3 linked regions of the Rhinolophus ferrumequinum genome follow. The main gene of each other region encodes a partner of the protein of the gene in region 2 in a complex. Links are inferred from orthologs where the notes say so. Each region holds a gene or a part of one and is shown on either strand. Other genes may lie near its edges.

What was found.
Region 1: TIMM22 (region 2) and TIMM29 share a complex: the UniProt entries of both Homo sapiens proteins name them as parts of the TIM22 complex. The link is inferred for Rhinolophus ferrumequinum from reciprocal best matches to the Homo sapiens genes TIMM22 and TIMM29.
Region 3: TIMM22 (region 2) and TIMM10B share a complex: the UniProt entries of both Homo sapiens proteins name them as parts of the TIM22 complex. The link is inferred for Rhinolophus ferrumequinum from reciprocal best matches to the Homo sapiens genes TIMM22 and TIMM10B.

What each region holds. Positions count from the first base shown.
Region 1 is NC_046301.1:39,497,985-39,501,520, forward strand, and holds TIMM29 (mitochondrial import inner membrane translocase subunit Tim29), read right to left. Parts: upstream 2,156-3,536; 5' UTR 2,043-2,155; coding exon 1,949-2,042; intron 1,876-1,948; coding exon 1,187-1,875; 3' UTR 545-1,186; downstream 1-544. Other genes in the region: protein YIPF2, read left to right, coding at 2,456-2,486, 2,864-3,009, 3,101-3,181. UniProt on the Homo sapiens protein: Component of the TIM22 complex, a complex that mediates the import and insertion of multi-pass transmembrane proteins into the mitochondrial inner membrane.
Region 2 is NC_046304.1:17,139,661-17,143,410, reverse strand, and holds the start of TIMM22 (mitochondrial import inner membrane translocase subunit Tim22), read right to left. Parts: upstream 2,374-3,750; 5' UTR 2,102-2,373; coding exon 1,864-2,101; intron 1-1,863. UniProt on the Homo sapiens protein: Essential core component of the TIM22 complex, a complex that mediates the import and insertion of multi-pass transmembrane proteins into the mitochondrial inner membrane. In the TIM22 complex, it constitutes the voltage-activated and signal-gated channel.
Region 3 is NC_046294.1:45,327,811-45,330,697, forward strand, and holds TIMM10B (mitochondrial import inner membrane translocase subunit Tim10 B), read right to left. Parts: upstream 1,586-2,887; 5' UTR 1,539-1,585; coding exon 1,500-1,538; intron 1,300-1,499; coding exon 1,204-1,299; intron 1,019-1,203; coding exon 842-1,018; 3' UTR 545-841; downstream 1-544. Other genes in the region: ARFIP2 (arfaptin-2), read left to right, coding at 2,644-2,742. UniProt on the Homo sapiens protein: Component of the TIM22 complex, a complex that mediates the import and insertion of multi-pass transmembrane proteins into the mitochondrial inner membrane.

The DNA of each region.
Region 1 (3,536 bases), on a different chromosome or scaffold from region 2:
ATTTTATTTATGGCTAATGATAGCAGTACTTAATTTCTGGCAGGATATTATCAGGATCAAGGATGGTGCTGTGAATTTGAAAATTAACTGAGAGGGTTGGGAGTTACAGTTTGAATCTTGGCTCTGCCACAGTCTTGGAAAAATAACAAACTTTTTGAACCTCACTTTTTCCTTTGTAAAATGAAAATGCTGACTTGGAAAACACTCCCCTGCCCCCAAAATAAGGATAAAAATTACCATGTGTCGCATGCACCCATAGTACGAATGGAAGGTTCAACTACCAAAACTTAATAGCAAAGCACACGAATACAAACATGGTAACAAAGCTGGCTGTTTCATCTCCTGGTTTTATTAACTAGCCACAGGCCACCTCGTTAGTCTCATTCTTCTAATAATTTAGTTTTTAAAGTATGATTACCATAACCTAGCTAAGTACCAGCTATGCACACTAACATATTCCTTTCCATAGGATTCTGTTTTCAACATTACTATAGTATAACAAAGGCAGAGTCTGATTCCATATAGACTTCCAGTTCAGAAAACGTTTTATCCTTCCAAGTTTCTTTAATATCACTATCAATTCGCAAATGGTAAAAAGCAGCTTGTTTTTGCAAAAAGTTTCCCTGTAAAATCCAAACAGTCCTACAATGTCAATCTCTAGTTTGGTATTGCTTATGTAAAATGTTACCATTTGGGGGAAGCTGGGCAAAGGGGAAACAGGATGTCTCCGTATTATTTTCCGGTTTCCTATGGGACTATAATTATTTCAACATTAAATTAAAAAAAAAAGTTACTCATGAACATGAGAGTATAAACATCACAGCTAAAAATTTAAAACAATAATCTGAAAGGCCTGAGAGATATACTATACCTCCAGGGGACTGTGAGGCCAAATGAAATAGGCTTACTTATGTGTAAGGCTCATTACAAATTCTGGCAGTGATAAACATATGGTCGCTCTGCTCTCCCAACTCCTAGACCAAGAAGGCTCTGAATTAGCTTCAGCTAACAAGGAACGATGTGAAAGGAAAAAAAGACCCCCTAATTATATGAAAACCCAGCGGGGGAACACTCTGCATGTTATTCAGTCACTCTGCACTTGAGGCTCACTCACACCAACTGCATAATCCGGGCAAAAAGTCTGCCAGGGCTCGTAGCTGCGTTGGGACCTTGCCCTCACTGTGTTTCATCTTGGGCCCTCCGACTGCATAAGCAAGTCGACCTGGCTCAGGGCCAGCTTGTCCTTCTTCTCCTTCTGCAACACCTGCTCCTCCCACAGCGCCTGGTCCACCTGATCGTTGGTGAGCACGACAGGCAGGTATTTCTCGTCAAAGAGCCGCTCGTTGGCCTCCGAGTGCAGCTGATGGGGCCCGACGACGCGCAAATGTGCCGGCAGGTGGAGGAACTCGTCGTCGTTGATGTCGCTGTCGCGCATCCGAGCCCCCAGCACCCACCAGCGGCCCACGAAGCCCACGTCCAGGATCCGGTCCGGGAACTCGTCCCAGCGGGGTTGCAGGTAGCGGCAGCGGGCCTGGTAGAGACTGGCCTGGGCGTCGTAGGGCGCTTCATACACCAGCGAACAGAGGCCCAGGTTCACGTGGCGCAGGCAACCGCGGCCCCGCAGCCAGAGCAGCCGCTGCACGTACGCTTCTGAGTCGCGATTGCGCGTGGCCGGCGCCAGGAGCAGAAGGGTCCCCGACGCATCCAGCAGCGCCTCCTCGAAGGATGCCTCGCTGGGCGCCAATGCGCAGCAGGCCGCCGCACCGCCCAGCAACCCCACGTACACGGCCGCCCTTACTGGCCGGGCCCGCGCAGCCGCTGCCGCGTCCCCGCAGGCCTCGGCGTAGTCCCGGAGCAGCGCGCGGGCCCAGACGCCTAAAAGGAGAGAAGCGCGGTGAGAGAGGTCCAGCCGCTGCGGCTACCTTTCCCTCTGCTAGCGGCTACTCACCCAACCGCGCCCACGCGCCTGGCTTAGAGGCCGCCGCGTCCTCCACCTGTCCGCGGCTTCGCGACCAAAGTCTCTTCAGAGCGGCCGCCGCCATTCCCTTCCGGCTTAGCGACCGTTCTCCGAAGAGAAACGCCAGGTGTTAAAGTAAATGGTCCGGGCAGTCTTATCTGCGCAAGCGCTAAAATTGCCGGAAGTGGCTTCCCATCGGAAGAGGATAGAAGACGGACAGGCTCCGGATGTTGCTCTCTGGGCCGAGCTGGATTGATTGACCAGTAGGCGGGCCGCGCAGGCGCAGAAACCCCTGGCCACGCGAGCTGAGACGGCCTCAGGTAAAGAGGGGGGTGTTGCACCTGTGGGGCAGGGACGGCGAGTTCACGCCCGGGTGAGTGCGGTTAGCCGCCAGGCCCGGCTGGGGGCTGACTCCACGAAGGGTGCCGCGTGGGATTGCGGGCGGGCCTGATTGGCCTCTGTCCTCAGAGCGAGGTCCGGTGATGCCCCTGAGCGACCATGGCAGCGGCCGACGAACTAGCCTTCCATGGTGAGTGCGGCTGCGACCTGGCCAGAACCTCCTATCCAGGTCCCAACCCATATCTAACAGGAGCAGCAGTCTGTTGTAAACCCTGACTCCAGGCATGAAACCGAGCCCTAACTCAAACCCCACTCCAGCCCTGAACTCTGACCTCAAACCCAGACCACTACCCCAGACCTGACCCCATCCTAGAACCAGCCCTCAATTGCAGTCCCTTGTTAGGAGTGAGAGAACACACCTTCCTACTCCCCAAAATTGGCCAGGCCCTGAGTTGGGGAGAGCACTGGGATGACCGTGGTTAGTCTTGGACCCCAGATGAGCAGTGGACCAAACCCAATTGTCTTGACCTCATACACATGCCTGTGTCCCATATTTATTCTCGGTAGAGTTCGAGGAAGCCACTAATCTGTTGGCCGAGACCCCAGATGCGGCCACCACCAGCAGAACTGATCAGCTGACCCCACAGGGGCACGTGGCTGTGGCTGTGGGCTTGGGAGCTGAGGATGAGGTGGAGGAAAATGACAAGACTTCGGTGAGTCACATAAGTCCCTGTGCCCCGCCTCCGTCCAGCCCCCCGTTGACCCAGGCTGGAAGGGTAGTCACTGAAAGCCCGCACTGTGCAGCTTCTACAGGAGGAGAAGCAGCAGCCGGGATTCTGGACCTTTGACTACTATCAGAGCTTCTTTGACGTGGATACCTCGCAGGTCAGGCCCGGGAACCTTGGTGGGAGGGGCTCAGAGTCACGCTTAGGGTTCAGCTACTATTTACTGAGCGCTTCCTGTGCACCTGGGCAAGTTGCTGGAGATACACATGTGGAGAACAAGAGCTTACACCCAGGCTAGCAGAAGTAACAGGTGCACTATGAGGATTATGACGCTATAAGGATTATGACGTGATGACGGGGGCTTTTGGAAACACGGGATGCGCCTGGTATGTTAGGTTAGAGAAAGGCCTCCTGGAGGAGGTGAGGGATTTGCTGAGACGTAAAGAAAAAGGAAGACGTGTCAGGGCAGAGTGGAAGGAAGCATAAGTGTGTTCCAGGCACAGGGGACATCGTAT
Region 2 (3,750 bases):
TGGCAAACGCCACACTGCTGTCCACATCGGACCTTCCTGAGCCTGCTGGACATTTCCATATGGATGTCCTCTCATCACCTCCAGGCCAATACAATTGACCCTTGAACAATGCTGGAGTTAGGAGTGCCAAGGCCCCCGTAGTCAAAAATCCACATATAACGTTTGACTCCCCAAAAACTGAGCTGTCCCTCGGGGGGATTGGGTCCAAGACTCCTCATGGATAGTAAAATCCATGGGTGCTCAAGTCCCCTATATAAAATGGTGTAGAGCAATGCATACAGTCAGCTGACCACATCCATGGACTCCCAACCAAGGATCGAAAACAGGACAGATATTGAAAGAAATCCATGTATACACGGATCCATGAAGCTCAAACCCATGTTGTTCAAGGGTAAACGGTATATGTTTGATGAAATCATGGTCACCTCCCTTCCAGACTTTCTTGTTATTGCCCCTTCTTTTTAGTCACTCCAGCTCCAAACCTCAGGGGCGTTTTTTTGTTTGCCCTACAACTCCAAGTCCACAATTATCATCCTAGTCTAGGGTTTTGATCACTTCCAACCTGGAGCACTACAAAGACTCATTTATTTCACCAAATATGTGATTTATCAGGGTCAAACACAATGATGAACAAAGACCCAGTCCATTCCTCATGAGCTTCAGTCTAGCCAATTTCCAATATGGTCTCCCTATCCACAGACTTCTTTCCTTCAGCCCACCCCATCCTGAATCACGATGTTCATTACCAGTTGTTACTCTTCTAAAAAAATCATCAATGACTGTCCTAATGCCTATCGACAAAATGCCCAAATCCCCTACTTTACCCCCAACTTGAAATGACAATTCTCTTCCTCTGTGTCCACCCCATTCTCTCCATCCTTCAACAGTTCCAGTCTCACCTCCTCTTGCGGCCTTCCCCAAACCACAAAAAGTTCTCTCTTTCTTCTTTCTACTATATTTCACATTTCCACTCTCACCACATTCGTTTGTCTTTCATTCTTAATGAGATTTCAACTCATCTGCAAATGTGGTCAACCTCCTTACCCTCCACACAGGAAGGACACCACATTCTCAAATCCTCACAAGGCTAAAGAAAAAGCCAAGTCCATACTTCTTTCCCCCTTGTTCACTACTGTCTAGTCACTCTGGCCACACTGGCCTTTTCTGTTTTTCAAACTAAAGCCGGTTCCTTTGCACTCGTTCCTATGTCTGCTGCACTCTTCTGCCAGGCTCCTCAACATTCTTCGATATACAGAGAATGCCACAAAAAATGCATACACATGTTAAGAAAGGAAAAACTATTAAAATTGTAATACTCAATACATACCGATAACAAAAGATAAATACAAGTCACGTTTAACGTCTGCAATTACAAGCGGTGTTCAAAGTGGTTACCATCAGCGTCCAGACACTTCTGGTTATGGTGAACTACTACTGCTTGAGCAACAGTTGACCAAAGTGTCCCCTTGTATACATTTTTTTGGCACCTCGGATATATAGAGAGGGGTGTTAGCTTCCTGAGAACCAAGCTCTAGTCTCTCACCCTGTCTCTCCACCGCCTGGCACGTGATACCTACCCACTAACAAGTTTTTGAAAGAATGATTATTTGAAAGTGAATGACCGAATGATGAATGAAGTCAACTATTTTATAACCTCCAGGCCCCGACCCATAGCACCGATTCTCTGATCCAGTTTCCAGAGGGTCTAGAGAGGGTTGCTCGAGCTCCCTGAACGAGGCCGGGGTGCAGTCCCCTTCGAGGCCCACAGGCTCCTCGCCTCCCGGGCGCGTGGTCTTCTTGGCAGAGGAACCCGCTGCCATCCACGCCCTCAGCCTCCCAAGGGTCCCCCTCGCCTTGCCTCACCTCCCACGCAGGCCAGCGCTGCCTTGAAGGCGCAGCTTTCCATCGCTCTCTCGATCATCTTCTGCTCCTCACTCTTGGCCGGACTCGGGATCCCGCCCAGGCTTCCGGGCTCCAGGACCCGGGGCTGACGCTTGTCACCCACCAGGTACTGCAGAAGAAGGCTGTACTGCAGCGGGGGTTCGGCGGAGCCGGCCGCCTCGGGCGCGGGGCCCCCGGCACTGGGGGCTGTCGCCGCCATGACTAGCGGCCCAAGAAACCCAGACGTCCTTCCCACAGCAGATTACACAAGCTGCACGTTGGGGCCTTGCGCGCCCAACCACTGTGCCACCACGGTAGATTCGCCACGTCCAGCGAGTCCGAGGAAGCTACGGAAGCAAAGTCCATTCGTGCGCACCTGGCGGAAGAACTATTACGTTTCCCAAAAACCTCGGCGAATACTGAATGCAGCTTGTGCAGCATTCCCAATGGCACTGACAAGCGAGATTCAGATTCACCCGAGCGCCCTCATCTTCCGGGCCGCAGCGCGGTGCCTACCGGGATTTGCAGTTCTGACATGTACACCCGACACATTTCCCAGGAAGCCCTGCGCGGACACTTGCACTTGGACCTTCTCTGGAGCTTCTGACAGGCGGGACCCTAGCGGTTGAGCGCCGGCAAAACTGCAATGCGCCTGGGCGTCGGTAGGGGGCGCACGCGCCTCGCCACTGCCCTTCCAGCGTGTTCCAGCGTGTTATGAGATGTAAGTGATGGAAGGTGCTTTGTAAGTAAATGTGAAAGGGTATGAATGTATGGAGTGTTTCCTCGAACATAAGACGGGGTCTTATATTAATTTTTGCTCCAAAAGATGCATTAGGGCTTATGTTCAGGGGATGTCATCCTGAAAAATCATGCTAGGGCTTCTTTTCTGGTTAGGTCTTATTTTCGGAGAAACACGGTATGTTTTGTTCGATAATTAAACCTTTGATGGAGAAAGAGAGAGAGAGAGGGCAAAAAAAAAAAAATCAATGAACAAATAGTGAAGCTAACCAAGGAAAATCGGGGACAGGCTCTTTCCCGTCTTGCAAGATGGAGGGTGAAAAAGGTGAGAAGCCCGGCATTAAGGAGAAGAAACCTGAAGCCAAGCAGGCTGATGCTGGTGGCAGGGTTAAGAAAAGTAACCCAAGGGCAAAACACCTAAGAAGGGGAAGCCCCACCGCAGCTGAAACCCTGTCCTGGTCGGAGAAGTCGGCAGTTATTCTCCATCGGCTATGTGTTCCCTGAAGGCCATGTACAAGAGGAAGTATTCAGCAGCTAAATCCAAGATTGAACAGAAAAAGAAGGTTCTTGCTACTGGCACAAAACCAGTTGGTGGCAACAAGAATAGTGGCACCCGAGTGATTAAACGTCACAAAATGCCCAGATAGTATCCTATTGAAGATCTGCCTGGAAATCTGTTGAGTCACTGGCAAGAAACCCTTCAGTCAGCATGTGAGAACACTTGGGTCCAGCCTCACTCCCAGGACCATTCTGGTCATCCTCACTGGGCACCACAGAGGCAAGAGGGTGGTTTTCCTGAAGCAGCTGGGCAGTGACTGGACTTCTGTCCCTTCATCGAGTTCCTCTGGGTAGAACACACCAGACATTTGTCATCGCCACCTCCACCAAAATTGATATCAGTGTGGTGTGAAAATCCCCAAATCTCTCACTGATGGTTGTTACTTCAAGAAGAAGAAGCTGCACAAGCCCAGACATGAGGAGGGCGAGATCTTTGACACAGAGAAAGAGAAATATGAGCTGACAGAGCAGCACAAAGTTGATCAGAAAGCCATGGACTCGCCAATTCTGCCCCAAATCAAAGCTGTTCCTCAGCTCCAGGGCTGCCTCCGCTCTGTGTTTGCTCTCACAAAT
Region 3 (2,887 bases), on a different chromosome or scaffold from region 2:
ATTCAGGAAGACAGGAAATAGTGAGAAAGTAACAACTTGGGGAAATGGCTGAAGTTCCAGAACACCCCTGAATTCTTACAGGTTTCATCTCTGTCCTGGAGCTACTGATTTCCCAGTAGGTAGTGCCTAAAAACCCTGTGATTTCTTGATCTACTGTCCTTAGACATCTCCTCCTTTCCCTAAATCTGGCAGAATTCCTTCCTGTAAAACACAGTCCACAAGAAAATAGCTATAAATGAATGCACACCTGGCTCACAAGTGAGCCATTAAAGTCAGATTTATGTGAAGAAGAGCTAGACAGAGCTCCCATTTTCTCTGTCATCTGGGCAGGAACCAATTTCCCGTTGCTATTACCAACCTTAAAATTGTACCCACAGACCTTGCTTTAACCAGGTGCCTGGGAATGCTAAGGTTTGCGTCCATACAAAGAAGGCACTTTCTCTGCAGACAGGGCTAAAGCCAGCAGATATTCACTAACTGACAGAATAAAAGATGATGCTAATAAAGTAGGCAAAGCTTCCCTGCCCAAAATATAAACCAAACAGAATAAAAGCAGGTTTATTAACTCTTCCTGGAGCCACAGTACCCAGCTCTCAGGCAAGCCCTCACTTTCTATATACAGGCTGGACCCAGCCCAAGCAAGGTCCCTGGAAAGGGGTTCATCTCCTGATGGGGAGAAACACATGGGTGGGGATAAGCTTCAGGAGAACACAGTCTTTGTCTCGTTCACTGCTGTGTTGCATGGCCTCAAATAGTGCATGACACATAGTAGGCACTCAGTCCACTGGCTCCTTCAATTTGAGGGGCCATCCAGTGCCTCCCTTCCTGGGGTTGGGGATGGCTAGCTGCCTGATGGCGAGGTTCCAGGCTGTTCAGGAGCAACACCTGGCACAGCTGAGGCAGCCTCGTAGTCTGCGATGCGGCGCTGTACCAGGGCAGGCATGAGCTGCACATAAGCAGCCATGAGGCGATGGTTGGAATGGATCAGCTTCCCAGCACAGCTATGCAGACAGGCTTCCTGGAAGGAAGACAGGGTGGAAACAGGGGCCAAAGGTGTCCTGTCAGATCCGTTTCCTTCCTTCCCATCTCCAACCTAGGGGCGAGGGACATGGAAAGGCCCTGGCCAAAGGCAGTGGAGGAAGGAAGGAAGCAGATTACGGTTAACTCTGAGGATGAAGAGTAATCCCCTACTCGGTCCCCCACCTCCTCGGCATCCAGGGCTCGGTGGTGCAGGCTGGGTACGCAGCGCTGGAAGCAGAGTTCCGTCATCCGATTGTAGACCAACAGGAAGTCCCGCAACTAGGAGAGAAGGGGACCAAGAACTCAGCTATAAGGGGGCCCACACCTGAATTCAAGGCCGCGCCTTGAAGTTTACCAGGACCGCGCACCACAGCCCGATGTCCCTAGCCCTCGGATCCCTAGCTTTTTGGGGTTCCCGCCATGCAGACGGCGAGGACAGTTGAATGTAGGGCTTTGAAGCCACATGAGCTGCCACTCACGTTTCTCAGCTGCTGCTGCTGCTGCTGCTGCTGCTCCATCCCGCCACAAGCTCACGTCCTGCGTCACTTCCGTTACAGCTTCTCGGTAACGCCCCGGAAGTTATCTGTCGTCCATCCCCAGGGACTGAGGGGTTGACTCAAGGATCGTCCTGCCCCCGGCTGCTAACGTCACCTCCGCCCTTATAATCTGCGACGTGGCTGGCTTCTTCTGCCCGGGAGAGGACGTCACTTCCTCCGAGTCCCTGACCTGCTGCTAGGATCGCGACGGGAGCTGGAGCCCGAGGTCCCCCCGCGGCCCGGGCCTGGCGCCCTGAGGGGAAGAGCGGCCTGTCCTCAGGTGAGAGGGCCATACTTGGGCAAGGGGAAGTTGAATGCATGAACCTGTCTTGAGGGCAAGATACCTCTGAGCCTGGGAAAGGATGAGGACACACCTGATGCCCAGGTGTATTGGGGTGGGGGGTGGGGGAAACACACCTAGGGAAACATAACCGACTTTGGAAGCCATCACCTATGTCCTGGGGAAAAGAGGCTTTCCCAGAGGCTGGGAACATAAACCAACTGAATCAACTAAGGCCTGGTGGGAAGAGCCCGAGGAAGAGAAGGTGCATGGTATGGAGAAGGGGGGAACGGTCTGAAGGAAAGGGGAAGAAACACTAAAGGGGTGTTGAAAGGCTAAGCGATGGAGAACATACTGAGCCTTGGAAAGGGGTTCATCTCCTGATGGGGAGAAACACCTGGGTGGGGGTGAGCTTCAGGAGAACACAGTCTTTGTCTGGTTCACTGCTGTGTTGCACGGCCTCAAATAGTGCATGACACATAGTAGGCACTCATTAAATGTCTGTTGAATGATCGAATGCATGAATAATCATCGGAGTCCTGGTGAAGTTGGAGAGTCATGAGAAGACACCTGAGCATGTGTAAAAATATGCACCTTGGAGGGAAGAGGTACATATACTCGCACTATCTGAGGGAAGGAGTGGTAGCCACACTCCAGAACACTCTACCCCTGGGACAACCTCTAAAACCTCAGAAACGGTAGGGGAGACATTTCTCTTCTGTGGTCCTGGCCAATTTCCAGAACTATCTGTGTTGGGCTTTGCAGGGCGCTGGGGTGGAGACATTGACTCCAGTCCCTTCCCTAGCCATGACGGACGGGATCCTAGGGAAGGCAGCTACAATGGAGATCCCCATCCATGGGAACGGCGAAGCTGGGCAGCTTCCTGAGGATGATGGGCTGGAACAGGTGCATCTGTTTGATTCTTCTCCTTATTGTTCAATTTAGGAATCCCAACTCATAAACCCTGGCCTATTCCAGTAGCCTTTCCTAACTTATCTAACTCCCTTCTTTTTACAAATTTTTGTTCTGATTCTGTGCAGACTTCCTTTGT